3 linked regions of the Mus musculus genome follow. The protein of the gene in region 1 interacts with the protein of each later gene in a biochemical or structural test. Links are inferred from orthologs where the notes say so. Each region holds a gene or a part of one and is shown in the gene's direction. Other genes may lie near its edges. The genes, in order: Tnrc6a, Ago2 and Cnot1.

Region 1 (9,954 bases):
AATTTCTTTTAGAAATATCATATTTAGCTTGGATTATTACCTATTTGTCTTCAAAAGTTAATGGGATTTCCTGTGCCTTTGTAAGATGATTCTAGACTCCTAGAATACACAGATGAATAAGTACTGGTGGGCATATAGTTGAACTTGTATACTATAGATGTTTCTATACACACTTGCCCTAGAGAAGCTCTTTTGTTAGCAGAGGTAAATGTGGGCATCCATGGTACAGTATAAGGACTCTTAAGATGTAGCACATAGAGCTGTGTTAGAAGTCTTAGGCAGTATTCCATAGGAATGCCTGGGTGTGCTGAGTCTCAAGAGGCTAAAGTTGAGTATCTTCATAGAATTCATGAAGAATTCATACAATACCCTAACTTACCAACTATTCAACTGTAGGAAGGCTAAAAGAGAAGAGCTTGATAACATCTGCATCTGAGCCAGAAAGGAGGCAGAAGACAGAGTAATACATAAGCAGTAAAACTTGTAGGCCACAATGAGGTAGGGCTGGAGACAGTGCACATGGTTAATGCCAGCTCTCCACTCGATAGTGGCCCTCAGTTTACTTTCCAGCACCAGTGTTGGACAACTCACGGCCCCAGGAAATGACTCTCTCTGCCTTCCTTGTATGAATCTCGCACTCGCACACAGAGAACAATTAGCAGAGATAGAGATCTGGCACTTGAGCAAAGGGTCTGTCTTCATCAGAATGAAGTTATAAGCAGAGAGGCACAGAGAAAAGAAGCAACAGGAATCCCCGAATCACTGGTTCTTTCCACCCCGTCTTCATGTGGTGTGTCAGAATCCTTGCTGTCTGTCTGTCTGTCAGGGAGCAGAGTACTGCTTTTTCTCTTGCATCTTCATAGAGTGTACTGGGCAGGTTGGCGTCCATTTCCCTGATGGGAAGCTTTGCTGTAGAAGAGGCTGATGTTGTAGCTGGCTCACATTTATTTCACCATCACATTGTTCTTTTTAGGTGCTATTTCAAGTGGTTTTAGGCTGGAAGAGTCTCCATTTGTTCCCTATGACTTTATGAATAGCAGTACTTCACCAGCCAGTCCTCCAGGTTCAATAGGAGATGGCTGGCCACGTGCCAAATCGCCTAACGGCTCTAGCAGTGTTAACTGGCCACCAGGTAAGATGCTTACAGCCTCTCCATGTCTGGTCTCAGCCATAGCTTAACAGGGTTCTGTGATCAGAAGCGCTGATGTGATGCAGTGGAGAGGCGAGCTTGAACTTGGGGCATTGGCTGCATGCTCCAGTTTTCTGTTCCACACAGTGATGGTGGATGAACTCACCACTGGTGTGAAGAGTCTCTTGGAGAGACTGTGTCAGAGGAGAGACTGTGTCTGTCAGAGGAGAGACTGTGTCTGTCAGAGGAGAGACTGTGTCTGTCAGAGGAGAGACTGTGTCTGTCAGAGGAGAGACTGTGTCAGAGGAGAGACTGTGTCAGAGGAGAGACTGTGTCAGAGGAGAGACTGTGTCAGAGGAGAGACTGTGTCAAGGACTCATTTGACACTGAGGGTCACCAGAGCTGCATCTCTGGCCTGCTTGAGTTGCTGCAGTGCTGAAAAGATGTAAACTCAGAGCAATTATTTCAGTTGTGTAAATAAGCAAGTTAGTAATGGATTAGGAGTGTGTAATACTTACTATGTTGTTACCAGCCTGGCCTTTTAGGGTGTTGTCACACAGAGTTTAGAGATGAATGTGTGGCTATTTAATTTGGATTTTAAAGCTGTGCACTGATTTTGAATTTGTATTTGCAGAATTTCGCCCTGGTGAACCATGGAAAGGTTATCCAAACATTGACCCTGAAACTGACCCTTACGTCACTCCTGGCAGTGTCATAAACAGTCTTTCAATTAATACTGTGCGGGAAGTTGACCACCTCAGGGACAGGAACAGTGGTACGTGGGGCATGGGCTGGTGTGAGAATGCTGTGCAGCAGTGTGGGATGATAACAGGTCAGGATGGCCTGGCCCTGACCCTCACCTGGGCAGGTGACCTTCACCTCACAGGTGAAGGGGCACAGGACAGCCCCTTCAATCCATTCTGCACTCCATTTAGATGCACTGACCCTTCCATTAGAAACTTGTGGTCGTAGCTCTTTTTTTAATATAAAATCTAATGTTTTGACTTTCAGAACATTCTTTCCATAAAGAACCAGTTTCTATAAACAACTAACTTTTCTATAGCTCCTTTTCAGCCTGGCCTGTGCCTTACTATCTTCTGCTGAATTGGCTTTCATGGCCTCTACGTAGCTCTTTGGTAGATTCTGCCATTTCAGAATGACACGATTCTTCACTTAGCATTATGATATGACAAACACTTGCTACCTTAATAAGCTGTGTATCAGTAAAGACTGTTAGCCCTTTTACATTCTTTGTAAATTACTAAAAGGGATAGAAAGGAGAATATATTTTACACACACATACAAAAAAATCAATTATTTTAGTGTTTCAGTAACTTTTTATTAATCTTTCTTCTAGGACAAAACAATGGAAAAAATATTCACATATGCCTATGGTAAAAAACAGCCCCATGGTAGTCATAGGGTTATTTCACCTGACAACCCTTTAGAAAGTACATACGTTTCACAGTGAGAACCTTGAAATCCCAGGCAGGCAGGCAGGCAGGCTGTTTGTCCTGGGGAAGCCGGTCAACATTCCAAGTGTAAATGAAGTATACAACTGGCAGTGGCTAACATTTTAAAAAGAAAGCTATGACCACAAGTTTCTAGTGGAAGGGTCAATGCATCTAAATGGAGTGCAGAATGGACAGTAGGGACTGTCCTGGTGCCCAGGTGAGGGTCAGGGCTAGGCCAAGACTAAAGAGAATATGTTAACTACAGAGCCCAAATATGGAGAAGGCTGAAGGCTCTTGGGTACTGCCTGTGACGGGCTGCCTTGATGACCTGTCTTGCCAGTACATAGTCATTGCTGTTCAGAGTGAAGAGCTAGAGCAAAAGCAGCCTCTTTAGTGCTGCAAGGAGAGCCTGGCTCATCTAGCCACTGCACACTCTAGGGGATCAAGAAGGAAATGCCTATTCTGAGCCAGGGCAGAACCAGTCAGCAGAAAGGAAGCTGCTATCTTGGGCCCTATCTTTAATTCAGATGCTTTCAACTCCTATCTTGAGGATGCTGTGGCCCTGCAGCTTCCTAAACCCCATGCCCTGCTCTGCTCATTGACTCTCTTCTGCAGGGTCATCCTCATCCTTGAACACCACGCTGCCTTCAACTAGTGCCTGGTCATCCATTCGTGCCTCCAACTACAATGTTCCCCTCAGCAGTACAGCACAAAGCACTTCAGGTGGGCGCTCTCAGAAACCGCCAGCCTGGGGCTTCCCCTCTGCTGCCTTCTCAGGTTGTTGGGGGAGGGTTTGTGATCCTATCCAAGTATTGCAAACATCATGTCTCTCCTTTGAAAAGCAGTCTACATTTAGCACACAGCTCTCTGCCATCTAAGCCACCTCAGCCCTGTGATAAAGCACCATTGAATCCAGAGTCTTCTGAAAGCCACTTGTACTCGCTCTTTATTCTCAATCCTCCAGACTGATAGCTCTATAGGATGTGGGAGGTGGGAGGTGGGAGGTACTGTATGATGCTGTGCCCCCGCAGTGAACTCGAAGGCTAGAGCCCTGGGCTTCAGTGTGCATCTGCTGCAGCTCAGGAATACTCTGCTGTGGCCAGCCTTCCTGCAGCCACACTTGGAGGAGCCTTGGTCTAATGGCCAGGTACTTTGTAATAACTCAGGTCTGAATGCTCAAGAGCTGCTGAAGACCTTCCCACCCCTTTCTCTTCCCGTCTTTTAGCACTCTTTGACATAGTTGCCTCTCTCCCCATGAGTGTTGTGTGGCACCACCTTGCTAACTTGGAATAACTGCTATAGCCTTTCTTCTGGGAGGAAATGATGAGCTTAAAATGTCTGTGGCCTGTGTCTCTCTTGAGTGGACCAGTTGGCCAGGAGTCCACGTGTGTATCTTATAGTCTGTGTTGTAATCTCGGAGAGCAGTTCTCTGCTTGCATAGTCTCAGGACAGTATCAGGTGAGGGCCCAAGTCCTGAGGAAGATTGCCAGCTCTGGACTCTTTGTCTTTCTCTGTAGGCCTTTACCTAGATTTAGGGGTTTTGGTAGTTTTTGTTTATTTAACTCACTTTTCATGGGACAGTGAATATTATTGTGGGAATTTTCTCTTTCTAACATTATCCCACCTTCTTCAATTTTTCTTATTTTCTTTCTCCCCCTTCTCCTTTGAGTAGCCAGAAATAGTGATTCCAAATTGACGTGGTCTCCTGGTTCAGTTACAAACACCTCTCTGGCTCATGAGCTGTGGAAAGTCCCTTTGCCACCTAAAAACATCACTGCTCCGTCCCGCCCACCTCCGGGGCTGACTGGTCAGAAGCCACCCTTGTCTACGTGGGATAATTCTCCCCTTCGTGTAGGTGGAGGATGGGGAAATTCTGATGCCAGATATACCCCAGGTAAGACACGATAGCTGTGGTGCTTGATTGTGGACCAACACTGTGAGCTGCGGGGTCACACTCTGTAAAGGCAGAGTGAGCTTGAGCAGAATTGTAGTTCATCTCTACCTTTTATAATTTTCTTATCTTTAGGAGTCTTGATTAATTTCCTTAAGAATGTTTAGCCAACCTGTATGGTAGTGCATGCCTGAAATCCTAGCCCAGGGGTAGTGAAGGCAGGAGCAGTAAGTATGAGGATGTTGGTGTCATCTGTACATGAGACCCTGGAGACCTTGTCTAAATAAGTAAGAATGCTTACGCAAAGCAGTGCTAGTGGGGTCTCTTCTCAGAAACTCCTTAGGAACGCTTGCTTTTTGTTGTCTGTCTGTCTGTTTCTGTTCTTTTGTTTGAATGGTTTTGGTTTTGGGGAAAGGGTTTCTCTGAGTAGCTCTGGCGGGTCTTGGAACTCACTCTGTAGACCAGGCTGGCATGAAACTCACTGAGATCCACCTGCCTCTGCCTCCCAAGTGCTGGGATTAAACGTGTGCACCCCCTCAGCCCTAAGGGAATGCATCTTAAAAGGTCTGTTTGTTTCCTAACTCATGGCTGGCTTGCAGAACAAGACTGGTACATGGAAAATTAAGCTGGAGAGAGAAGATAGAGATTGGGCTTGTTTTGGTAGTAGCTTGGCCCATCCCAAGAATGACCATGGCTAGGCGGTGGTGGCACACGCCTTTAATCCCAGCACTTGGGAGGCAGAGGCAGGCAGATTTCTGAGTCTGAGGTCAGCCTGGTCTACAGAGTGAGTTCCAGGACAGCCAGAGCTACACAGAGAAACCCTGTCTCAAAAACAAACAAACAAACAAACAAGAATCACCATGAAGTTTACTGTTTAGGCAGACATTTGAAAGCGTAAGTGGGTGCTATTGACCCCTAAGGTCAAGCAGACATAGGGCCCAGTGACATACTGTGAAATACCTGTAAGGTGTCACGGGGCCAGGTGCTTCTTAATCATGTTTAGATGTTACTTTCTAAAGGAGAGGGATTGCCTTAGGCTCATGCAGGAAAGGCTCAGTGGAGAACTCACTCAGTAACCTAGACAAAATCAAAAGATACCTGATGCCAAACAGTTCAGTGCCCTTAAAGGTACTTGTCTTAGGGACAGATGCAGAAAGGCTTACCTGAGGCCTGCCCTTGGGCACCGTTTGGAAGTAGTTTACCCTAAATGGAAAGATGCCATGGAATAGAGGCACCTGAAGGTAGGGCTCAGCACCTGATCCAGGCTGGAGCAAGCTGATATCACAGATCTTTGTTGCATGAGGGGAAAGTAGGCAAAAGAGAAAGGAGCCCAGATTCCCGAGGACTGAGATTAGCTGTCGTTTGATTGGCTGTACTTGTCTTAAACAGTCATTCAGGCAGAGCTGTAGAGTGCTGACTGCTTGCTCTTTATTCAGGCTCCAGCTGGGGTGAGAGCAGCTCAGGGAGAATAACCAATTGGCTTGTTCTGAAGAACCTCACACCTCAGGTAAGGAGGCACCCGCTCAGTGCATACAGTGGGCTGGGGAGAGCTATGCGCTCCAAACAGGCCTGACACTGCTCATCAAGGCCAGGCAGAGGGTGACACTTCGCTGCCTCTAGTCTGATCCAGTGGTTTTCATGCTGTTATGTTTAGGGCAGCACAGTAATGCAGATACCTATGTCTCACCCAGTACTGAGTGGTGCTGGGCTTTGCAAGTGTGGCTTTGTGGGATTATATTACCCCTCCAGAGAGCTTGGTCTACTCTTTCCTAAGTATTTTCTTAGGAGGCTACTCTCCCACTCGTAGGGAGCAGTGTCTTGAGGTTCTGTCATGGAGTAGGTGGGGGAAGACATGAAGCCGTGCCTGGGGTGATGACTCATCGCCTAGCTCTAGCCCACTGCATATAAGGAAGAGGCACTGAACCTGGCATGAGAAGGAGGTACCTTCCAATGGCTCTCACAATGGAGGCCCTAACCGCAGCCTGCTCTGTCTAGATTGATGGCTCAACTCTGCGCACCCTGTGCATGCAGCATGGCCCACTGATTACATTCCATCTGAACCTCCCACATGGAAATGCTCTGGTCCGTTACAGTTCAAAAGAAGAGGTAGTGAAGGCACAAAAGTCTCTGCACATGTAAGTTGCCCCAAGACTCCTGATGGGGAGGGGAGAGGCTGGGAGAGCTGAGAGTAAAAGCCCAACCCAAGACCCCTGTGTAGACCTGGTTAATGTGGACCAGGAGAGACTTAGGCGGAGGGATAACTTGAGCCTAGGCGTTGAAGGCTACTTCAGAAAATAGAACGTGACCTTAGATCCTGGAGAAGCCCTTGTGTTGCCTATGGGAGGCAGACCTGGTCTAGATGCCCCATAACCCCTTCTGGAACATTCACTCTGGGCATGGAGCAGGCCAGGCTCCTTCTGCACCTCCTTGGTTTTCTCTCGGAGCAGGTCACACTGCTAGTTGAGCTTATGAAGCCATGCATCTAGAAGACCTCATGTTGTGCCCTCTCCTCTAGGTGTGTGCTGGGGAACACTACTATTCTCGCTGAGTTTGCCAGTGAAGAGGAGATCAGTCGCTTCTTTGCACAAAGTCAGTCTCTGACCCCTTCTCCTGGCTGGCAGTCTCTCGGGTCCAGCCAGAGCCGGCTGGGCTCTCTCGACTGTTCCCACTCGTTCTCCAGCCGGACTGATGTCAATCACTGGAATGGTGCTGGGCTGTCGGGAGCTAACTGTGGAGACCTTCACGGCACTTCCCTCTGGGGGACCCCACATTATTCCACAAGCCTGTGGGGTCCCCCGAGCAGCGACCCCCGGGGAATTAGCAGCCCATCCCCCATTAATGCTTTTCTTTCTGTTGACCACCTGGGTGGGGGTGGGGAGTCCATGTAATGGCATAGGTATAGACGTAAACTGTGACCTCACGAAGAGAAGGAAAGGAGCACTAAGTTGGGCTCGCCGCCTGCAGCCAGGGCACCTGTGGGAACAGCTGTTTTCTGCACATTCTCCACTTTGTTTTCCCCAAAACATATCAGTTTGAATACTTGAATCATGCAGGCCAATATTATAATGTGAAAGGGTATCTATCTATTTACACTCCCAAACAGCGCCATACAGCTACCGTGTGGAATGAGCTCACTTGTGTATTCATCATGTTTAGCCTTCGGATTCCTTCTTTCCTCCATTTCCATCCCCATCCCCACCTTTTATTTTTATTTGTATTTTTTGCAAAACCGTTTTGGGGCTGACGTATGAGCTTTTACCTTTGCACTGAGTGATGTTCTCCGTCTAATCGGCAATATGGGGGCAGCTGTTCCAGTGTAGATGTTTACTCAAGGGTGTTCTCAAGGCGTGCGCTCTCTACTATGCCTCATGTTGCCTACCTTAGTGTGGTATCGTGGAGTTGAAAAGATCAAGTTAAGATACTGACGTAGGATTCTTAATGAAAGTATTGCACCAGTTTTTTCATGTTGTAAAACTAAAGAATTTCGCTCTACAGTTTGAGAAACTGTGGCCACCGCTGTGACCTGCAGCCCGCCTGCTGCCCAGGACGGGCCCTGCACTTTGAACAGGCTTTCCATGTTGTTTTGAAGGTTCCCACGGTGAACCTTCTTGTTTACAGATTTTTTTGTTTGTTTTTTGAGAAAAAAAATGTTTACTCTTCCATCATTTAAAAAAAAAAAATTAAAAGACAAAAAAAAAAAAAAAGGAGGGTGGTTTAAAAGACGCTTCTATCTCTGGGAAAAGAGCAGCAGTTGGCCATGTTCTTCTGTTTTCTATTCCTGTCCTAAATCAAAGAGCATGGTTCTCAGGAAACCAGTTCCCCGGTCAAAAAATCTTGTAGTTTCTTATAGGAAAGAAGAAAACCCAACTTTTAGCACTGATACTACGTATTGCTCTGTTCAACATTTTCTCTGCCAAAAAAAGAAAAAAAAAAAAAAAAGAAAAGAAAAAAGAAAAAAACGCGCTTCGAGCTGGAGTTGCCGTCTGCTTTCAGATGCTGTCCTTTAGTAGTGAGTGATGATGGTTTGCTAATCGCTAGGTGACTTTTGTAACCCCATCAGTGGCTCTCATGTCTCTGCTCTCTTGTGACTGTGTTCATGTTTAACTGTTGTACCTTAAAGCCGAGATCAGTAACTATGCATACTGTAACCAAGACATTGGGCTTACAGAGTTGTTTGTTGTATAAAAAATTTTAAATGTTGTTGCAAACTAACGAGTTACACCATTTTAAAATTTCTTTCCTCCCTAGCCCCTGTTGTTTTGCCCACAAATGGTATTATAATGCTTGCTTAGTCAAAGAGAGACTAAACAAGGGTAAACTTTTAACAGTACAGAATACGCCATCATTTCATTGCCTTGATTCTAACTGTTTGTGTCCTAAGATGCAAAAGAGGTCAGTGGCTTTTAACTGTTTACAATAGGATGTGATTGTAAATGTACAGTTTGGTTGTGTTTGAATTATGAAATCTTCAAATAATAAACCATGACTTTTTGGCTGCTCAACATTAATTGTCTCTTTTTTGTGGATTTATTTGTAGGCTCTTTTATAATGAAAGTTACAAAGTTGCTGCATGTGAGAGTTCTTCTCATAGAGCGGCAGATTAAAAATCTAAGCAAATATTTGAACATTTTACCTGAACTTGTCCACAATCACCCTGAGATAATGTGAGAACAGTGGGAACTGTAGCTTGCTCCTCCTCCCCTGAGCATCTGTGGGAGCTTGTTGTTGCCCAAAGCTCTTCTCTGGCTTCACCTTCCCCACCATCTGTGCCCATCTCAAGCCTCAGCGGGACCATTGGGACACGAAGCTGACTGCCGTGACAGCGTCCTAGTGTTAACCTCTCATACCTCACACAGTGGGGATGCCACCACCTGGACTGGCCTCTCTTCCCTGTGCCCTTCGCCCCTCCTCACTGAAGGAGCTCTGGGCACAGAACCTGTATGACTTCAAATCACGCTCCACTTGCCAGGTGTAAGCTAATGTTGGACACCGTAACCTAAGCAAATGTTTAATGCATTCGGTGTGTGTTGATGTCCATACTGGTTTTTCCAAAAACCAAAGGTAGCTTTGAAAAACCATGTGTGGAGATGTTTGGACCGTTAAGCTGAGTGACCGTTTGGGGCTTTGAGTAGTATATATCTGACTTCATGACTTCGTTAATTGTATTGTTAAAAGTGTTTGGGAGTTTTTTTGCGCTTGTTATGTGGAAATAAAGTGTTTGATTTAAAAAATATTTTAAGTGGTTTTGCTTTTTGCCTTATTAATAACTGCTGCTTTCTTATCCCCATTGTCTCCAAATCCCAGGTGTCATTGGGACCTCCCTCTTAGCCTTCCCTTCCCACAGGCCTGTGTCTGACAGAGCTCCCCACTCCTTGGGGCCTTTGTGAGTGAGCCTGAACTGACTCGTGCAGCGGCTCAGGCCTAGGGCAGTGTGCTCCTGCCTACACTTCAGCCAGAAGCTGCCCTGCAGTCTCTCTTCA
Region 2 (10,498 bases), on another chromosome or scaffold:
TGGCTTGGGTTGATACCAGCTGTGGGTGAGTTGACAACCAAGATCAGAACCAGGCTTATCAAATTCTAAAGAGCAGAAATCTATGCTTATTCCTGGTCCCCTCGATTCTCCATCAATAGGACAGGTTTCTGTTCATGTTGATTTATCTCTATTTATGCCAACTTGAAATATTTTTTGAACAAGGAGTTTGGCAAGGCTTAGAGACGATGCTCTGTAAGCTTTTCCGAGGAGTAGCTAGCCACCTGCTTCCCAGAAGTCCAGGGCTCTTCCCTGTGTGCTTTCAAGGTATAAGGAAGTGCTTTCCCCAGCCTGGAAGTGGGCAGGCCCTAGCTGTAGCTGATCCGTTTACTTTTGGTCCCCTAACCTCAGAATCCTGGCAGCATTGTGGGGCTCTGACTCTCTGGTTGCTCCTTCAGATGAGCCCTAAAACAGCCAAGTTGCTTCACGGGGCTGTGACCTTCCTAGGGATCTAAGACTGGGGATGCTAACTCTTTGATGGGCATAAGGCAATTTGGAGACGTGTTTGCTCCTAAAAAATCTAGAGGCACCCCCCCCCCCCAGTTGCTTTTTACAGGTAACCCAACCCCCTGACACAGTAAGGCTCAAGGTTGCCTTTTTCCCGTGTACCATGGGGCAAGTATCCCATCTTGAGAAGGGAGCTAGCAGTACTATCTGCTGTGAGGGACACTGGGAGATGCTTCTTATAGGCCAATCTCCAGCTGGACCCAAAAGAGGGACACCTGGAGCCCTTGTCCCCTGCTGACCGTGTCTGTCCACAGGTCGTGGGCAGCATGGACGCACACCCCAACCGCTACTGTGCCACCGTGCGCGTGCAGCAGCACCGACAGGAGATCATCCAGGACCTGGCTGCCATGGTACGAGAGTTGCTCATTCAGTTCTACAAGTCCACCCGCTTCAAGCCCACCCGCATCATCTTCTACCGCGATGGCGTCTCCGAGGGCCAGTTCCAGCAGGTGGGCCGCTCTGCCATCCTCTCTGCCTCTGTCAGTCGGCTGCTCAGAGTGGGAAGGCGGATGGTGGTGGTGTGGTCTGTGTCTTAGGAGGTGTCAGGTCTCAGGATGGGGGAAGGCAGGAGGGAAGTTTTGAATATAGGCCTGGGCAGTGGAGACCTGGGTGAGGATAGAGCCTCAGTCAGGCCAGGGGATATGAAGGCAGACTGGGAATTTTTACCTGCCCTGGGCCTTTCTAAGATCTGAAGTGCTGGAGAATCGACTTACTTGCCTTGACCACAGGCTGAAGACATGCAATAAAGTACATTTGCTTCCTATTTAGGGCAGAAGCTGCAACTTTCTCCTCTTTAGAACAGATATTCATTGCCCTAGGAGTACACTGCCCTGTCTGGTTCAGTTCTTTCTGGCCGAGTCTCTAGTGCTGTGTTCTGCAAGAGCTGTGTTGACAGCTTCCACAATGTACTTACGTGACCTCAAACCCTGTTGCCTCTCGGTCCATCCCCCTGGGCTTTCGATCCTTCCCAGTGCTTCTCCCTTGTAGGAAGGCCGGGCCTGTCATTCTCAGCTCCACTGCTCAGAGTACCAGAATCCCCACAACTTAACTGTCTGCGCTAGAATTCTACATATATTTTTAAAACATTGTAAACTGGTAGAGACTGTTAAATCTGGGCAAGGTCAAGCATGATGGTGCTGCACACCCTTAGTCCTAGCCCTGAGGAGGCAGGGGCAGGTGGATCCAGGCAGGCAGAATAATAAGACTTCGATTCAGATAGGCAGGTAGATAGATAGATAGATAGATAGATAGATAGATAGATAGATAGATAGATACATACATACATACATACATACATACATACATACATACATACATACATAGAGAGAGAGAGAGAGAGGGAGAGAGAGAGAGAGAGAGAGATAGGGCAGAATAATAAGACTTTGATCCAGATTAGACAGACAGACAGATACTGTCCTGCCACAATAAAAAGCCACTATTTCTGGTACTTGTGTATCAAACTCTTCACATGAGGCCTTTAGTACAGGACCCACAGTTGACAGGAGGAAGGAAGGAGCATTGCTGGGTACTGTGCAGTACTGAGCTCAGGGAGTTCTGGTCTGACTCAAGTGAGTGCTTGCTCCATTTGTCTTTCCTTTCCTCTCAGTAAGCAAGCAAGTGGCAACTGTCTCTGCTGCGCAAGCCCATAAGTCTTCAGGAGCATTGAGATCATGATGGATTCCAAGCCAAGCGGTCCCTATGTAGGGACTTGACTATAATTTACTATCAAATCTATATAAGCTAGAGTCAACTAGGCAAAGGGAACCTCCATGAAGAAGTTGTCTCAATCAGATGGCCTGTTGGTGTCATGTCTGTGGGACATCCTCATTTTGCTGTGTGATATAGAAGGCTCAGTCTACTTGGGGCAGCACCGTTCCTAGACAAGTGGGCCTGGGCTGACTGAGAAAGCAAGCTGAAGTGGATATATTGGTGCATGCCTTTAACCTCAGCACTGAGGAGGTAGAAGCAGGTAGATCTCTGAAGTCAGGACAGTCTTGTCTACATAATGAGTTCCAGGCCGGTTAGAATAAACAAAAGCACAAAAGTGTACATAAGCAAGCTAGTTAGCTGAGCAAGCAGCAAGTACTGTTCTTCCATGTTTTCTGTTGTGTTCCTACCCTTCCTTCCCTCAGTGATGGGATGTGGTTTGGAAGTGTGAACTAGGAAACCCTTTTCCTTCCCAAGTTGCTTTGGGCCGGTCTTTTTATCACGGTATCAGAATGAAACTGGGCCAACTGTCGGAAGGCAGAGTGGTATACCTGACCCAGTGCTGGCAAGACTTGGAAAGCCATTCCCAGCGTGCAAGAGGCATCTGACGCCTGCCTTTGTCCTGCAGGTTCTCCACCATGAGCTCCTGGCCATCAGAGAGGCCTGCATCAAGCTGGAGAAGGACTATCAGCCAGGAATCACGTTCATCGTGGTGCAGAAGCGGCACCACACACGCCTCTTCTGCACAGACAAAAATGAGCGGGTGAGTCAGAGCCCCACGGCTGCCACAGTTGATGGGGACCCAGGCTCGGGTGTCTAGCAAGGCTCTGGTGAGGAGGGTCCAAGCACGAAATGTCATGTATCTAATAAATGATGGGAGAGGTGGTTCAGAAATAAATTGCCAGGACTTGTGACGGGGCTCGGGGGGGGGGGGGGGGGTGTCTGGCTTGGTTGGCAGAATGCTGCCTAGCATGTGCTAGGTAAGACCTGGGTTTGATCCCCAGCTTTGCATGAGCTGTGACCCCAGTACCAGGAGGTAGACACAGCAGCATCGAGAATTGAGGTCATCAGTGGCTACAAAATGAGTCTAAGACCCTGCCCCAGAAAGAAAGGATGGGGAGGAGCAGAGAATTGAGAGAAACCAGCCATTGAGGGTGGAGGACTGGGCAGTCAGAGTGTGAAAGGATGGAGTCAGCCTGAGGCTCTCCACAGAGCGTGCCTTTGACTGGGAGCATACACATCTCGCGCGCTCCATCTGGAGAAAGGTAAGGGTCCCCAGACATGCGTGTACGTGTGTGCGGGTGTCCACGTGTAGAGACCAAAAGACAAACATAAAATGTCATCCTTAGGATAGGCAGGATGACCAGCAAGCCCTGGGAATCCTGTTTGTGCCTTTGCAACCCCGGGATTGTAAGAGTGCCACCGCACTTGGTGTGTTTATGTGGCTTCTTGGGTATAAATTTAGGCCTTTGTGCTCACGTGGCATAGCAGGCACTGTGCTGACTGAGCCGTCTCCCAAGACCCCAAAACATAAGCTCTGCATTTCTAACAGCACAATGAGGCACACATCCATGTATAAAGACAGCAGCTTGAGAGACATAGGCTGTCTAGAAGGGCAAGACCTCAAGTTGTCTACCAGACCTTGAACCCAGCGCTGTGGGTCCAGACCCCTCAGGCCTGGGATCACCACATTGTTGCAAGACGGTCATTGCAGTTCAGCTTTGCCCAATGGCCTCCAGTGTAGCCCAGTGTGTGTTTGTAAGTGTTGTGAAGTGACTGAGGTATAACTTGCCACAAAGAAAGAAACCACTTACCAGTAAACACTGCAGCTGAGGTCTCCAATGGCCCCAGTGTTGCATCCTAAAATGATGTAAAGAGGAAAAAAAAATCACAACAGCAAAAGCTTGCAGGATTTCAAAGGGAAATTGACAAATACAGTGTCATGGGTGGATGTTGTGACACACCTCTGTTGGAACCTGAACCAGGCAGGAATGAGTGGGAGGGGCCAGAAGAGCTGCAGGTGCTGGATTCACATGGAAGGACAAGAAGTCTCAGGTGGTTTCCAAACCTTGATCTCATAGAAACCATATGTTTTGATCATTATGCAAATGAAGTTTAAGAATGCTTGACACTATCGCTTTGCTGCCTGCCGCTCATGCATTAAAGATAGAAAGGAGACGACAGAGCACTCACAGCTGAACAAAACCGAAAGGTTTCATACCAGCTCAGCTCAGCCTGGAGACTCGAGTGCATTTATTATAAGATGAGAAATGGCCCTGCAGACCATGAAGGGAAGCTGTGGCGCCTGAAGCTGGGTCCCTTTGCAGCTCCGTGTCTGTTGCTACAGGTATTACTGCCTGCAGGCAGCTCTCCTCCCTAGACCAGGCAATAATGAGGAAGCAGATTCAATCTGCCTCCTTGGATGCCCGGGAGGAGGGAGAAGATGCGCTCTGGGGAAGCAGGCGGCATCAATTTCCTTGGATGGTGACACTTAGCCAGGGAAGTCTGAAACGTGCCACAAATGCTTATGGAGTTAGGTATATTTACAAAATCATCTCTGGAACTAAACCCAAAAATTCTTTTTTAAAAGCTACCCATGCCAAAAGTCTTGGGATCCAGAAAGCTTATGGGCAGGCAGGTTTCCCACACAGACCTTCAGCTCTGAATCCTCACAAAATGTGGCGGAAAACAGTCAAAGGAGTTCTGTACTCTGAATATTAGTATTAGTCTTGGCTTTATGGTGGTCAGAAGAGGATGTCAGGTAGCTCCCTCCCTCTGACACTGAAACTTGTGGGTGGCTGAGAGCAAGCGTGTGGGTCTGGACACCCATTCAGTCCTCTGCAAGAGCAGCAAGTGCTCTTCACCACGGAGCCGTCGCCCCAGTTCCTAGTTACAGAGTTATTTTATGAGGTTAGTTTGCAGGCAAGTTTCAGCAACCCTTCAAGGAGTAATGTTTTGTTACGACCTGTGATATCACAAGTCTGCAGTCCTAGCTTCCAGGGGCTAAGGCAGGAGAGACATCAGTTCAGGAGTAGACTTGGGTGTAGGACAGAGGCCTTTCTTGGAAAGCAGACAAACAAAAACTTGTGCAGTTTAGAAAAGAGTGAATTTTGCACAGATTTGGGCACATGACACTGAAATCCAGGACAGAGGGTCTGAGTTGTGTCTCCATCTGTTTCCCTGGACCTGCCCACAAGAATAGACTATTGGGAGGACTGACCAAAGGGCATAGCACTCGGTCCCTGGTGTGTTTATTGTTAAAAAGGAAGTGCCAGGGATGGGAGTTCAGATCCGTAAGCAGCCAGGAACACAAAACTGACAGTTGTCCATTCCCTGAGTGCTCTGGGAGATTTTGTGTAGGAATTGTTTAGCTGGGCATAGTGACACAAGCCTGCCGTCCCAGCATGCAGGAGGCTGAAACAGGAGGATTATCTTGAGTAGAGTCCAATCTCAGTGAGCTCTGGTCCAACCTGGGCTGCTACAGTGTGAGAGCGTGTCTATAAATACATAATAGAAGGATTTATGGCATTATTATTGCTTGTGCTAGCAAGAAAAGTAAAAAGTAGCCATACCCGGGTGGGGGGGGGTTTCTCCCTCTTTCTTCCTCTTCCTCTCACTCCCCCTCCCTGTCTCCCTTATTCTTTCTCCTCTCTCTAGTTGAAATATTAGGCTGATGGTGGTAGTGTACAGTTCACTTCCAGCACTTAGAAGGTGGAGGTGGAAGCATAAGGAGTTGGTCTCATCCTTAGCCTCATAGAGAATTGGAACCTAGCCTATGTGATTGGAGCCTGTTCAGACAGGGCCTTCAGTAAACAGACTGTGCTTGACTGTAGCATCAGGATACAGTGTGAACAATAACTCTAGCCCAAGTTAAGCTGTGGAGATCGTTGGTACTTACCAGATTTTGTCTGTGCTGAGAAACGGGTGTTCCCGCTGACACACTGCCACAGCTGATGAGCCCTCTGTGCTGTTGCAGGTTGGGAAGAGTGGGAACATTCCCGCAGGCACAACCGTGGACACGAAGATCACCCACCCCACTGAGTTTGACTTCTACCTGTGCAGTCACGCCGGCATCCAGGTGAGGCGGCAGGCTCCTTTGACTGCCTGGGATGTTTTGTGGCTCTGCAGACAGGGCTCAAGCTTGCTCTGTGGCCAGGAGAGCTGGGCACTCACCTGGGGTCCAGAAGAGATAGGAAGGGACCAGTGTAGAAGTGGGTGTGGTGAGACCAAGATGTAAGGAATAGTGATCTGAAAGGCCAAGGGATACAGCGTGTTCTGTGCTGACCGCTAGTGAGCTAAAAGGTGGGACTGACTGCAGGAGCTGCAGCGGTGGGGCCTGGAGGGGCTCACGTTCAGCTAGCTGTGTGCTGACCACCAAGAAAATGCTAGGACAAGGAAGTACTGGGATGCTCCTCAGCAGAATCATGCCATCTTACCGATGGTAGAGTGAGGTCTTTGAAGACTGGTTAATAGTGGCGGGGAGGAAGGGAGGTGCCAGCAGTATTTCTGCTGGGTACATCAAATATTCTCAACTCCCACTTTCTGGATGTTAATATGTAGCTTTGATGGGAGATTTTTTTTTTCTTTTGGTATTATAAATAAAATACTATAGAATACCTAGCATACCCAGAGGGCGTTGTCTTTGGCTCAGCTCCTTCTAAAATGTTTTTTTTATTGCCTCATCAAATGCATATTTATGGGGTGTGATGTGCAATGTGATTTTTAGCACATGTATCACACCTCTGATGACAGGGCTTCAGACTTTGACCAGTTCTCTGTATTGGGACATTAAACATCCTCTCTGCTGGCTCTCTTGAGTCTTGGCCACATTTAATGTTACTCATCGAGCTGGGTGTAGTGATGTAGGAAGCTGAGGCAGAAGGATAGCCTAAACTAATGCTGCAAGGCTTGGAGGGAGGGAGGGAGAAAGGGAGGGAGGGAGGGAGGGAGGGAGGGACAGATGATTCTTCAAGCCTCCCAAGTGCTAGGATCCCAGGCATGTGCCACCATGCCTGCCTTAATAGGAATGCTTGTTCTTGGTAAGGTCTTATGGTGCGTCTTTCTTGGCCCTCTAATCTCTTCCAGGGGACAAGCCGTCCTTCCCACTACCACGTGCTTTGGGATGACAATCGTTTTTCTTCTGATGAGCTGCAGATTCTGACCTACCAGCTGTGTCACACCTACGTGCGCTGCACACGCTCTGTGTCAATACCCGCGCCAGCTTACTATGCTCACCTGGTGGCCTTCCGAGCCAGGTACCACCTGGTGGATAAAGAACATGACAGGTGAGTGTCGCACCTGGCAGGGGGTTAAGACGAGGCTGGCTTCTCAGGGGCTGTGATGGTTGCTTTCCATACACGTCTGGTCCCAGTGCCTTGCTTGGTATCCAGGAAAGACTGCATCCTTTTCCTCTTCTCTCCCATGTCTCTGCAGCGCTGAAGGAAGCCATACCTCTGGGCAGAGCAACGGGCGAGATCACCAAGCGCTGGCCAAGGCGGTCCAGGTCCACCAGGACACACTGCGCACCATGTACTTTGCTTGACCTGTTGTATTGTTTAGCGATTGTGTACCAAGTTGGATTCACACGAGACCAGCTACACTCAGACCAACAGATGCCCAGCCCTTCTGTGACAGCCAGCATCGAACATGAGACGTCTTTGGTTTTATTAGATCCTCCGTTTTCCAGAATGCCTTCCGTCCCAGATGTCAGACTTGGATTTTGAGCTGCAGGCCTGTATGAGACCCCAGTGTAGGAAACATGGTTTGCCAAACCTATAAGCTGCTCACTGAGAGTCCCGTTTCCTAAAAACAAAACAACAACAAAATGTCCTAAAACCAGTCTATGAACTCTCAGGGCTTTAAAACACTTTAATTTATTTGGTCATCCAATTTACTTGTTTTTAACACCTGATTCTCACTGAAACCGATGGGCTCCATCTAGCTGTGAAGGCTCTGAGCATGAAAGCCACACCATTTCCATTGGGGTTTTAAAGCCTGGCCCTAAGAAGTTGTCACTAATGTTGAGTTCTAAGGGATGCCATGCGCCCTGCAGCCCCAGGGCGTATGGCTGCTAGGTCTCCACAGTGTCTCTCGAGGTCACTGCCTGCCCTCGAGGCCTGAACAAAGGCACAGTGGCCAAGGAGATGGTCACGTGTGTTTACGGCAGTGACAAGTCCGAGAGATTGGCAGACAAGTGCCATTTTGATAAAAATTTATTTAAAAAGAGAAAAAAAGACAATATACTGACAGTCTAATCATAAGATTTGTCCTGTAGGACTGTGACATTTATTTTCCAAAGTTTCTAAAGAATACGGGTCTGTGGTGATAAATACAGTACAATCCTTTTTCACTGTTAATGTCTTTAATGTAAGAGAAGAATATATGTATCTGGTTTGCAGTATTAATGTGGTAGGTAGATGCTGTTTCCCTTTCGTTGACGAGGGGCGCTTCTTGTGACCTGCTTCACATATCAGGAGCTGTGTGGAGCCTGGAGACAGTCCACCTCTTGTGGCTTTTAGTGCTTAAGTAGAGGAATATGCAACTGGCTTCATGTACCAGCGATGCCCCCTCCTCCCTCCCCACCCCCAGTGTGGACTGTGTAGCCTGTACCTCTGGAAGGACAGTGCGCTTGCCAGTAACCTGCCGTCCTCCCTGCCTCGTCCATGTGTGTCGCTCAGCCGATGAAGCACAAATGGAATTTATTTATTCTTCCATTGCTGGGAAACAAGTTCACGTAAGAGTGCACTTCTCTCAGTGTGCAGTTATGGAAGGTGGGTTTCATAGGATCTATGCACTGAAGTGGAGAGAGAGCTGCCCATAGCGGCTCTGCCAGCATGGGACTGGCAGGTAGGAATGGACTGTGCCCGAGGACCTGACCGTGGGCAAGGCCAGCAGGGAAGGCACAGACTTTCTCTGGGTGTTGTTTGCTTCTGGGCCCCAGTGTGGGTTTTCCAGCCCAGAGACCATTGAACTGAGAAGGGGCCACTACGAGTGGCTCTGCGGATGGCAGCAGCCACGTCAGTGTGTGTGTCCTGTGGGGCTTTCTGTGCTTGTCCCGAAGCTGAGCAAGCATCGGGCTCGCTCCGTTCCACATACGCGTGCGTTCCCAGAAGGAGACGAGCCTTCTCTTGTGTGCTGCTCTGTGCTCTGTGGGTTTTTTCTACCCCTGCTGATGGGCCTCATCCCCCAGCTCTGCGTCATTTACCTCTGACCCTGTGGAGGAGGGAGGGTGCCCACCCTCTCCCCTGCCATGGCACCTCATGCTAGAGGACACAGTACCACCTTTGCCCCGTTCCCCATCTGCTCTGGAGCTGGTGGGAAGGGCAGACGCAGTTACCTGGGAAGTCACACCCTCAGCAGGTGTGTGTATCCGTGTATGCATGTGGGTGTCTTACTAATGACAATAGTCTCTTCTTGCTGTGTCTTTAGAAATCTTTTAAAGTAACAGGACCCCCCCTCCCCCCCAGTCTAAGAAGCACTGGGACTGCCTGCTATCCCATTGGCAAGTGGCACCTTCTCAAACTGTTTCCAAAACGATAGAAAAACACTCAGTTGGCCTAACATGGTCAGGCTAGGGAACTGGTTAAACTAGTGAACTTTTAGAATCTGAAATTGGATTGTTTTCAACCATTCTTAGAACCGCGTGTTTCTAAGGTGTGTCTTCAGCCCCTTGCCATGGGATCTTAGTCATGCAAGTGAGTTTTTTAGAATGCAGATTCTCACCTGCTGCCAGCTTCTTGGATCTGGCACTGTGTTCGAGGCCACCCCTCAACCCCCACCGTGGCTCTGTAGGCGCTTTCTGAGGCCGTCCCCCCTTATGATGCCAGGGGGACAGGAAGGAACCCCTATCAGAGCTCACACCTAGGAACACTTGTGGGCTGGGGCAAAAAATCTTGAGCTGGGAGTTTTGTTTTGATCACCTTGAAGGATAGGTTTTCTTTCTGATGGGCCAAAGTACTGGAAGCAAAGTACTTTCTGTAGTAGCCCATGCTTACTTGTGACACTTTTAATATGAAATGTATCCCCAGACCAAATGTCCCTAATTGAGTTAGATACACACCATTTACATGTCTGATGGTGCAGAGCTCATAAATGGCTATAGTTCCAATTTCTCAGGTAAATAATTTTCCCCAATTCCCGCCCTCCCCTTATTATTAAGATTAGTTTCGAGACAGTGTGAGACCTCAGAGTGCGGTAGCAGCTCCGGCCATCTTCTGCAGGAGCCAGCTTTTTGTGTGTATCTGTACCCAAGACTGGTGACAGGTGC
Region 3 (10,498 bases), on another chromosome or scaffold:
ACTGGAGTTTGGTTCCCAGGGCCCACATTGGGCAGCTCACTGACTCAAGCTTCAGGGATATCCTGCACCTCTGGTCTTGGCAGATGCCTGATCTCATGTGCATATATGTGCACCACTGAACACAATTACACAATAACAAGCATGCATGAGCATTCACATAATCATAATTAAAAGTAAACCTTTTTAAAAGTAAGCAGTTACAGACAGAATAAACTGGAAAAAATAATCACAGTCCATTTGTTTCTTATCATCATTGGCTGTTTTCAGTGGTGTGAGGACGAAAGGGAAAATGAAGAGTACTGTCTTGAACTGGCCTTAACTCCTTTAGAGTGCTTTACAGTACTTTCAGTAAGCTAGAAAGCTTGACTGTTGTATTTTTTCATTCGCTCAAATTGACGCCAAAAGATGGTTGTTTTTCCAAAGAATGATTGATCTATTTTTAAATGCTTTATTTACATTTGTGGATTTGTTAAGAATTGGATTTACTTTTCAACATAAGTGACAACCAGTAAACTATGCTACATAAATTTCTCTGCTAAAAGAATCCAGGAAATGATACCATAAGTCAGGCTGAGAGGCCATCCTCCATGTTTGTAGTCTGACTTGTCATTCCGTTGACGGAATGCAGACGCGTGGCTCGGCGGCATTGCCTGTGTGAGTATGGATGTGGTACCTGCCTGGCTCCTCTTCCTTCGCTTTACTCACTTCTCTTGGGGAGATGCTGCACTATACTTTACTGCTCCTTTTTATGTGTAGTGCTTGGTCATAGCACATATTCCTCTCAAGCTTTCACGTGTCAAATGTGGAATAAGATCCTTTTGCTGGCCTTCTGCCTTGGTTTGGGAACATTGTGTATAATTCAAACCTTTAGCTGTTTTATTATCAAGATAATTAAATTGTTTAAAAATTTCCAAGATGACTTTATGTCCGTCCGTCCCCCCCTTGGTTCCTAAGTAAGCGCCGACCCCTTTCCTCTGCTGCTTTACCGGTTAGTGGTCTTCCCTGCTGCTGTCTTTTTGAGACAGTGTTGCTATGTACCATTTCCTGACCTGGAGCTAGTCTTTTCTACTCATTGTAACAGTATAAAAGATCATTACGTTTAAGTGACATAATCCTGGGAATTTATTAAATTATTGATTTTTCTGCAGATGATGTTTTAAAAAACGCTGCCACTGGTTAAATAAGAAGAAGGCATCTATGAAGAGAATTTCTAAAAGTTAGCTTTATTAATATAATTTCCCAAACTGTAGATGTCCTTTTATTTAATGTTAATATCTGTTTGTCAGCTTCAATCTTCTCCATGAATTAAAACTGAGAGGAACTCTGCCATGTCTCCTTCATGACAGGGACGTCATTTTCCTAATGGCATCCTTTCAGAGTAAGAAGTTAAATGAGTATAAACTAGAGTTTTGCCATTTGAAAGCTAACTGTAAAGTTGATTTTGAGGATTGTCTTAACCATGTTGATTGGTTGTTCCCACTGTAGATGCACCAACAAGGAATACTTAAAACTGATGACCTCATAACAAGGTTTTTTCGTCTTTGCACTGAAATGTGTGTTGAAATCAGTTACCGTGCTCAGGCGGAGCAGCAGCACAATCCTGCGGCTAACCCTACCATGATCCGGGCCAAGTGCTACCACAACCTGGATGCCTTTGTCCGCCTCATTGCACTGTTAGTGAAGCACTCTGGGGAGGCCACCAACACTGTCACAAAGATCAACCTGCTCAATAAGGTCTGGAATCCTTTCTTGACTTGCGGGTTATTGTGTTCTCTGATCCATTGTAGTGTCTCTCTCTCTCTCTCTCTCTCACACACACACACACACACACACACACACACACACACACACACACACCATTGTTTGAGACAAGGTCTCACTGTAGCCCTGGCTGGCCTGGAACCCAATTTGTGGACAAGGCTGTCTTCAGAATCCACCTTCCCCTGCCCGTGAGGTGCCGTGATTGAAGGGCATGCACCCCCACACCCAACCCCCAAATCTTTTTCATCTGGAAATGAAATAGAAGAGATAGTATCCATATATTGTGTAGCAGAATTTAGAAGAGGGAGATGCAGTTGGTGTGTTGGTGTTTTGATGATGATCTAAACAAGAGATTGTGGTAGCTGGTACACTCCGGCCTCCACTCATGTCTGGATGGGTCACTAGGAATGGCATTTGATTAATTATTGACCCGATTTAGACAGCGTGAATCATGAAAATTTGAATATCAAACTAGTGCAAGACTGTAAACCTTGACTGTAGTTTTGTCTGTGGAGAAATACAAGTGGGTCATTACTATCCCTGCACTTATCGTTGAGAACCCACACTTCTGCCAAGCAAAGTGGGAATCGTTGCCCCGTTGGGTCACATTAGACAGTCTAGCCTTGTTAGAGCTCAACATGATGAAATGTGGAGAGACGTCCAGGTTTCTATACCTTTAGAAAAGCCAGTGGCCTTTATTGAGAATATAGAAGTTTGGTCCAGTAACAAATTTAAAAAACAAAACAAGACAGAAAATCTAATTTCCCTTTTGCTGGCTGCCAGCATAGAAATTTGTGTCTAAACAGCATGTATCCTTTCCTTTATTGTTTGTAGTGCTTACAGAGTTCAGGGTAAATAAGCCACTGCTGGTAGTGCAGGCCTGACTGAGTGAGGAGGTAAGAACATCACATGGAACTTGTAAGTTCAAAGCCAGTTTTTGGACAGCTTAGTGAGACTTTGTGCAAAGTTTTGGTTTTTTTGTTTGTTTTGTTTTTGTTTTCTTAAAAGCCTGACTATAATATTCAAGTGTTAAGTACTCAGCATTTGGGAGGGCCTAGGTTCAATCCAAGACACAGGTAAAAGTGACAAGTGGCTTATCTGTGTGGTTGATGGGATGTAATCTGTATGTTCTGTATAGGTTCTCGGTATAGTAGTGGGAGTTCTCCTACAGGATCATGATGTTCGGCAGAGTGAATTTCAGCAACTTCCGTACCATAGGATTTTTATCATGCTGCTGTTGGAGCTCAATGCACCCGAGCATGTGTTGGAAACCATTAATTTCCAGACTCTTACTGCTTTCTGGTGAGTGTTGTGTATAGTAGAGATTTCTATTTGTTATTTTATACAGGGTCTCATAGCTCAGGTTTGATCTCAAAAGTTCCTGTATTGTTGAGGCTGGCCTTGAACTCCCAATTCGAGCGTCCAAGAGTTGGAATTGCAGGCACACACCCCAACACCCAACTTAATGGTTGATTTTTGTAGGTGTCAGAGGTTGTGCTGGGATCACAGGCAGTACTTTGCTGAAATTTCAGGGCTGTTGGTTAAGTGAGGTAAAAGTCAGGTAGAACTTTGATGTTTTGATGTGTTTCATTGTAAAGTCTACATGTGTTTACTATATTTCAATTTGTGGTTCTGAATTTTTTTTTTTTTCAGCAATACATTCCACATCTTGAGACCTACTAAAGCTCCTGGCTTTGTATATGCTTGGCTCGAATTGATTTCCCATCGGATCTTTATTGCAAGAATGCTGGCACATACGCCACAGCAGAAGGTGTGGCTGCAGTTTATCTCCTACAGATGAAGCCTGTAACTACCTGGGGCTTTCTAGCACTATTTATGTCAATTTTATTAGTCACTTAGTAGTAGAAGAGGCTTAGGCTTATCAAGTACTTGACTGCATCTGAAGGCTTTGTTGGGTGACCAGGTATTGCTTTTCTAGCTTTGCTATGGACCAGGTATGCCAGTCTCTCTATGCTGGAGTTAACAGTATTTCAGAGGAGTTTGTCACTGCAGTAAATGGCAAAGGAGTACTGCATATAATAAGTACCCTCATCTGACCAGAAGAAAATTGTGTTGAAAGTGAAGTAGCCTCTTAATGAATTTGTCTTCTGGTTTCCAAATGCAATCCATGGCACACAGACACATGCATGGTGTGCACACAAAAAGAATGAACTAGAATTTGTGTGGTTGGTGATACTGTAGTAAGGAGGCCACTTGGGGCTGAAAGTACAGAATTGAGGCTCTGAGTTCAGCAAGGTTATTTACTACAGGACTTAAAGAAGGAATTATGGCAAGCAGCCTGTAGCTGGTTTGATACTACTTCTGCAATTTCCTCAGGGTATTCTCCTTTCTTTTTAGTTTTCTTATAGGCACAAAGTTAAATATTTTCCAAAGTCTCTGGAGTCCTGTTGTTTTAGATAACATTATCCACTACTGTAATACTTGGACTTTTTGTTTTGTTGGATATTTATGTTTCTGGCTGGCTTGGAACTTAAGTTTTCCTCCTCAGCCTCCGGTGTGGCAGGTAGGGTTATGGACACGCCCACCACACTGAGCTGATGCTTCATTTTGCTAGGATCCAATCTAGGAGAGGCCCTCGTGTCAGGTTACTATAGATAAGATGCAGTAGAGACGGGCAAGTTTGTAGTAGCCAAACAACTTGTAAATGTTACTACAACTTATGTATATTTCTTTCTTTTAGGGGTGGCCTATGTATGCTCAGCTGTTGATTGATTTATTCAAATATTTAGCACCTTTCCTTAGAAATGTGGAACTCACTAAACCTATGCAAATCCTCTACAAGGTAATTTTTATTTATAAATAACTTAAAAGTGTTTTTATATGGGAACTATTGTTGATATGCTTTTACAGAATCATTTGATACTCAGAGGCCCGACTTAAGGATACTCTAGTGGCACTCTAGTGCATCTACCAATGTACCTTTTCAATGGAAAGTTGTTCTCTCATCTTTTGTATATCTCTTGCACTGCACTCCCAACCCCCAACCACCACCATCCTAGCCATTTGCTACAATCTCACTGGGGAATTTAACTTCTATTTCCTTAATGTTTTCTTGTTTAACTTTTTTGGTAGATTATTTTATGTGTATGACTTTTGCTTTCCTGTCTGCTTTCGTGCATTTATGTGCACCACATGTGTGCCTGGTGCTCAGAGAATAAAGAGGAGGATGTTGGATTCCCAGGAACTGGATACAGATAGTTGAGAGCCACCGTGTGGGTGCTAGGAAGCAAACCCCGATCCTCTGCAAGAGCAGCAAGTGTTTTAACTGCAGGGTCATCTTGGCAGGGATGTTTAGTTTTTTGAAGCGGAGCTTCACTATTTAGTCCTGATTTACCTAAAACTCAGAGTTCCTCCTGACTCTTTCTCACTCTTGTTAAAAGCATGCGCTATCTCACCTTCTTTTTTTTTTTTTTTTTTTTTTTTATTATTATTATTATATCTAAGTACACTGTAGCTGTCTTCAGATGCACCAGGAAAGGGCATCAGATCTCATTACGGATGGTTGTGAGCCACCATGTGGTTGCTGGGATTTGAACTCAGGACCTTCGGAAGAGCAGTCAGTGCTCTTAACCACTGAGCCATCTCTCCAGCCCCGCTATCTCACCTTCTTAGTGAGATTTTCATTTATAGATGTATCTTTTTGTCATGTTCCTTCCAGTGTTTGCTCATGTTCCCCATGTTTTTTGTTTTGTTATGCATTTTTATAATTTGACTTTATTTTTCCATAGCACTGGGGATAAAACTTAGGGCCTTCTTAAATATACTAGGCTATCTCAAGTTGCTAAGGTGTTCTTCCTATCTATATATCAGAATTGTTGAATTTACCGAACTTGTTAAAAACTAAAAAAGGCTAGCTTTGATCCCATCCCCATTTTCAGTAGTTTTCTTGTTAGTTTGCCTTTTCACTTTTGTTAGTCCTCTTTCTAGTTTCTGAAGATAAATGTGGCAGCATTGGTGTTTGCAGAATATTTGTGTGCTTCATTTAAGGCTTCAGCTCCAAAAGCTAATTTTTTCATGATTTCTGCATGTAACTTTTTTATAATCTTAACTGCATGTATTAATTAAAGCCTATAGGTTTTGTTGTTTTTAATGTTAATAAAATATACTTTTGCTATTTTCGACAATGGAGGAAAAACTACTGCTTTTTTAGTATGGAACTTTTCCGTTTGTATGCAGGGTACTCTGAGAGTGCTGCTGGTTCTTTTGCATGATTTCCCAGAGTTCCTTTGTGATTACCATTATGGGTTCTGTGATGTGATCCCTCCTAATTGTATCCAGTTAAGAAATTTGATCCTGAGTGCCTTCCCAAGAAACATGAGGCTCCCAGACCCATTCACTCCTAATCTGAAGGTAAAGTTTTAGCAGATGGGACACGTTTGTTTTGTTTTGCCATTGCTTTACTGGGGATTTAACTTTTACTTCCTTAATGTTTTCTTGATTTATTTTTTGTTTTTTAAAGTTTTCCTCCCTTAGATTGATTTTATGTGTGTATGTTTGAGTTCATGTGCAGCAGATGCCTGTGGGACCTACAGAGGCAATAAGGTAGTGTGGGTCCATGGAACTAGAGTCTGAGATGATCGTGAGCTGCCATGTGGGTACTGGGAACTGGACTCTTAGAGAGCAGCCAGCGCTCTTACCATCTTTCCTAAAGGAAAATTTTTTATCTTACCATTTCAGCCCCTTCTCTGATCATCAGTATATTTAGTCCCCCTCTCTCCAGCGTGCACACACTTTAGGTACTGATACTTTTAGGGTAGCTGATGATGAGGGTGATACTGTCGTTGAATATTAGTTCACTGTTTTCTCATATTTTTAACATGGTTTAATTATCAAACCCCAGACTGAATGGTAGGCAGTTGCTGGTCCCACACTGCATAATTGAAGAACAAAGTGATCTTTGTAATGTCTATAGCTCACAAGTTTTCATGTGCATGTGTTGAAATTATTTAAGGAAGACGAACCGCTTAAAAATCATACCACCAAGTAGCCTTTTAACTTTGCTTGTAGCTCTTCTTTTTTAAGGTCCTTTCTTAAACATTTTAAAGCATATATTTGTCTGGGGCTTCTTTCAGTGGCTGGGACTCTTGGTAGTAATCTCCTGTACTGATTTGAAATCTGATCGGCCATGGCGGCGCACGCCTTTAATCCCAGCACTTGGGAGGCAGGGGCAGGCGGATTTCTGAGTTAGAGGCCAGCTTGGTCTACAAAGTGAGTTCCAGGACAGCCAGGGCTACAGAGAGCCCCTGTCTCGAAAAACCAAACCAAACAAACAAATAAGAAATGTAAGGTTGGAAAAAATGGTTAATGGTGCAAATTAGATGGGCACAAAATATTCTTTAATTTCTTTTTTTTAAGAGTTTATTTATTAAATATAAGTACACTGTAGCTGTCTTCAGACATTCCAGAAGAGGGAGTCAGATCTTGTTACGGATGGTTGTGAGCCACCGTGTGGTTGCTGGGATTTGAACTCTGGACCTCTGGAAGAGCAGTCAGTGCCATCTCTTTCAGCCATCTCTCCAACCCCTAATTTCTTTTCAAATAATGAGAAACAGCTAACATTGTGTGACAAGAAAAGGTGGATTTGTAGTAATCACAGTCTATGTGTATGTATAGTTTTAGAACGTCATCATAACACGTCTGTGAAGGGGAAGGGCTTGTTAACATCTGTGATTGATTGTGATTCTTGGGATGTGTGGCAGGTGGACATGTTAAGCGAAATTAACATCGCACCTCGGATCCTCACCAATTTCACTGGAGTGATGCCGCCTCAGTTCAAAAAGGATTTGGATTCTTATCTTAAAACTCGGTCGCCGGTCACTTTCCTGTCTGATCTGCGTAGTAACCTACAGGTCAGTTGATTTGACTTAAGTTCTTTGCTGTGTCTTTTGTAGAGTGCAGTTTGTGTGCACTGTCTATCTATGTCCCATTTTCATATTAGTATTTTTTTAAAAGATTTATTTATTTATTATATATAAGTACACCATAGTTGTCTTCAGACAACCCAGAAGAGATTCAGTTATCATTACAGATGGTTGTGAGCCACCATGTGGTTGCTGGGATTTGAACTCAGGGCCTTCGGAAGAGCAGTCAGTGCTCTTAACCACTGAGCCGTCTCTCCAGCCCTCAGATTAGTATTTTAAAGCTGATGTAGAAACATTGAAGCTGAATGTGGCAGTCCATACCTGTTAGTTTAGCACAGAGGAGACTGGGGCAGACAGGTGACAAGCTTGTGGCCACCTTAGAGCAAGACCTCATCCCTGGACATCCATCCCCAGATTTAAGTATTGTTGTAATTGTTCATTGGGTTAGCTTACCTGAGTCACACACTGTACTAATAGTTCGTCCTTGACCCAGTTATAGATGAGACCACTATGGAAAAAAACATTACTTTCCTGCAAGACCTGACAGCATTTCTAGAGTGATTATAGTTAAATTTCCTTTATGGAGTGACTTGAAGTGGAATTGGCTCTGCAGAGTTAGCATAGAATGCAACAACTTCTTTCTCTAAATTATATATGGTTGAGGTTGTGCTTGAAATTTATTTTATAGCTGTATCATGAGCAAAAGTATTTGGTTTTCCAAAGGAACACGTCTTCTAGTAGAATCACTCTGAGGGCAGCTGCACATTTGTACAGCTCACAATCTTGAACAAGTTTCTTATATGTAAATATCAACAGCTACCTATCCCTTTCAGAGAAAGGAGGCTTGAGAAACAGCAGTGCTGCCCAGCACAGTGGTGCTCACCTTTCTTCAACCCCAGCATGGGGAGCACAGGCCTAGCCATCTCTGCGTTTGAATCTAGCCAGAGCTGCACTGTGAGATCCCGTCTCTGGAAAAAATAATGAAATATTAAGTGTTATTCATAGTTCTATGGTAACGTTTTCTCTTTGCCCATTTAGGTATCTAATGAGCCCGGGAATCGCTACAACCTCCAGCTTATCAATGCATTGGTGCTCTACGTAGGGACTCAGGCTATCGCACACATCCACAACAAGGGCAGCACGCCCTCAATGAGCACCATCACCCACTCAGCACACATGGACATCTTCCAGAACCTGGCTGTGGACCTAGACACTGAGGGTGAGTGCAGCAGCTGGCCATTGGCATCATCAGAGACTCTGTACTTTGCCACAGATATAATCGAAAGAATCTAGAAATTTCCTTTAAGCTACAATAAGGAATGCTTAAGAAAATGGCCCCAAATCTTATCCTGTGAGTAAAGATGGTATGCCAGAGTGCAATAAGTGGGAAATAAGTATGTTCTTTTTGATAGCCTACATCTGAAGGTCGGACTACATTGCTTCATACATAAGTTTGTCTTTACCAACAATTACTAGGGTCTGCTTGACAGGGAACAGAACACATTAGTGAGTGTAAGAAGATAATGGGCCAGAGCTTGCTGTTCCTCTGTAGGAAATGTACAGGGCACGTCGCTGTGGTGTCTCCTGCGCTGTTTGTTTCAGTGGTCAAGATTCAGAATCCCCAGCTTAGTGCTAAAGAAGCTCTGCTCGTTGTTTTGTTTGCTTGTTTTTCTCTTAGAAATTCATGACCTCATTTTTATTGTTACTCCATGCATATATGTGCATGTATATACACACATTTTGGGGGTGGGGGGCTAACCTTTTCTGTTTTATCAGCCACATGTGTAGTTTTGTCTGCAGGAGGTGGGGGTGGTTTTGAAGATTGAGCAGCTCATGCTTCAGTCCAGATCCACTACTTATGTTCACAGTTTTTATGCTCCTGCCAGAAGTCTTAGCGTTTGCTTTGAACTTGGTCTTCAGGGCATCCCTCGCTGCTTTGGCACTGATCTAGGACTACCAGATGTAGCTGAATCCAGTCTGTTGCTAGTATGCCACCATGATGTTAGGAGTGGGGCATGTCAGGAGGAACTGCTAGATCACTTGAGACTACTAATATATTTTACAGTATAAGCTGCTCAGGCTGTATAATTGTTACCTGTGCATATGTTTCAGGGCTGGCCATTTGGTATTGGATAGCCAGTTGCTGTTCTCATCTTTGAGAAGACAAGACTGTTTTTTTCTACTCTGAGCATTTCTTGGTTGCCTGTAGTTTTTTGTGTAGAATTGAGGCCTCATGTTACGTCCTTTAGACAAGTGTTTAAGAGTCTTTGTGATCAATGGTACAAACAAGATAATCAAATACAGATAAGAGATCTATTGCCACCTGAGCATGGTGGGAGATTCTGGATTTGAAACTTTCTCTCCAATTATTCTACCAAAGTACTTTTCAGAGTATAAGGATCATTAGGGGCAAGAGTCTTATAAGGGCTTTGAGGTTAGGACTGTTTTTGTCAGAGGAAGACATTGCCTTCATTATGTTTATTTCATGTGTACAATTTTTCAAGTACTACATGAAATAAAATGTTTTAAGTAGTTGGATGTTGAGACAATGCAGATTAGCTTTCCATTGTTGTGTAGGATCAAGATTTTCAGTAAAAATTTTTTTAAAGAATGTAAGGTATTTTGCTGATTCATAATATGGATTGCAAATAACGCCTACAGAAGCAAAAAAAAAGTTCATATCCAGAAAACCAATAGTAAATCGCAAAATTAGAATAATACTCAGTTTGCCCAAGGCCCACCATGCTAGATTATGTCTGACTGATGGTATCAGTCCCCCTAAGAAACCAAAGCCTAAGGAAACTCATTTGTCTCTCATACTGGCCTTTCAGAGCAAATCCTAAATCTAGTTTCCC

What was found.
Region 2: the proteins of Tnrc6a (region 1) and Ago2 form a complex in vitro, tested with the Homo sapiens proteins (2 studies listed by BioGRID). The link is inferred for Mus musculus from reciprocal best matches to the Homo sapiens genes TNRC6A and AGO2.
Region 3: the proteins of Tnrc6a (region 1) and Cnot1 form a complex in vitro, tested with the Homo sapiens proteins (2 studies listed by BioGRID). The link is inferred for Mus musculus from reciprocal best matches to the Homo sapiens genes TNRC6A and CNOT1.

Annotation. Positions count from the first base shown.
Region 1 is NC_000073.6:123,185,590-123,195,543, forward strand, and holds the end of Tnrc6a (trinucleotide repeat-containing gene 6A protein), read left to right. Parts: intron 1-973; coding exon 974-1,132; intron 1,133-1,763; coding exon 1,764-1,904; intron 1,905-3,198; coding exon 3,199-3,306; intron 3,307-4,255; coding exon 4,256-4,477; intron 4,478-5,910; coding exon 5,911-5,981; intron 5,982-6,469; coding exon 6,470-6,609; intron 6,610-6,989; coding exon 6,990-7,362; 3' UTR 7,363-9,707; downstream 9,708-9,954.
Region 2 is NC_000081.6:73,104,184-73,114,681, reverse strand, and holds part of Ago2 (protein argonaute-2), read left to right. Parts: exon of another isoform or gene 1-779; coding exon 780-974; exon of another isoform or gene 975-1,130; intron 1,131-2,860; coding exon 2,861-2,995; intron 2,996-4,046; exon of another isoform or gene 4,047-6,208; coding exon 6,209-6,310; intron 6,311-7,317; coding exon 7,318-7,517; intron 7,518-7,665; coding exon 7,666-7,774; 3' UTR 7,775-10,498.
Region 3 is NC_000074.6:95,721,649-95,732,146, reverse strand, and holds part of Cnot1 (CCR4-NOT transcription complex subunit 1), read left to right. Parts: intron 1-1,485; coding exon 1,486-1,734; intron 1,735-2,899; coding exon 2,900-3,063; intron 3,064-3,414; coding exon 3,415-3,532; exon of another isoform or gene 3,533-3,567; intron 3,568-4,462; coding exon 4,463-4,564; intron 4,565-5,958; coding exon 5,959-6,132; intron 6,133-7,481; coding exon 7,482-7,631; intron 7,632-8,681; coding exon 8,682-8,862; intron 8,863-10,498.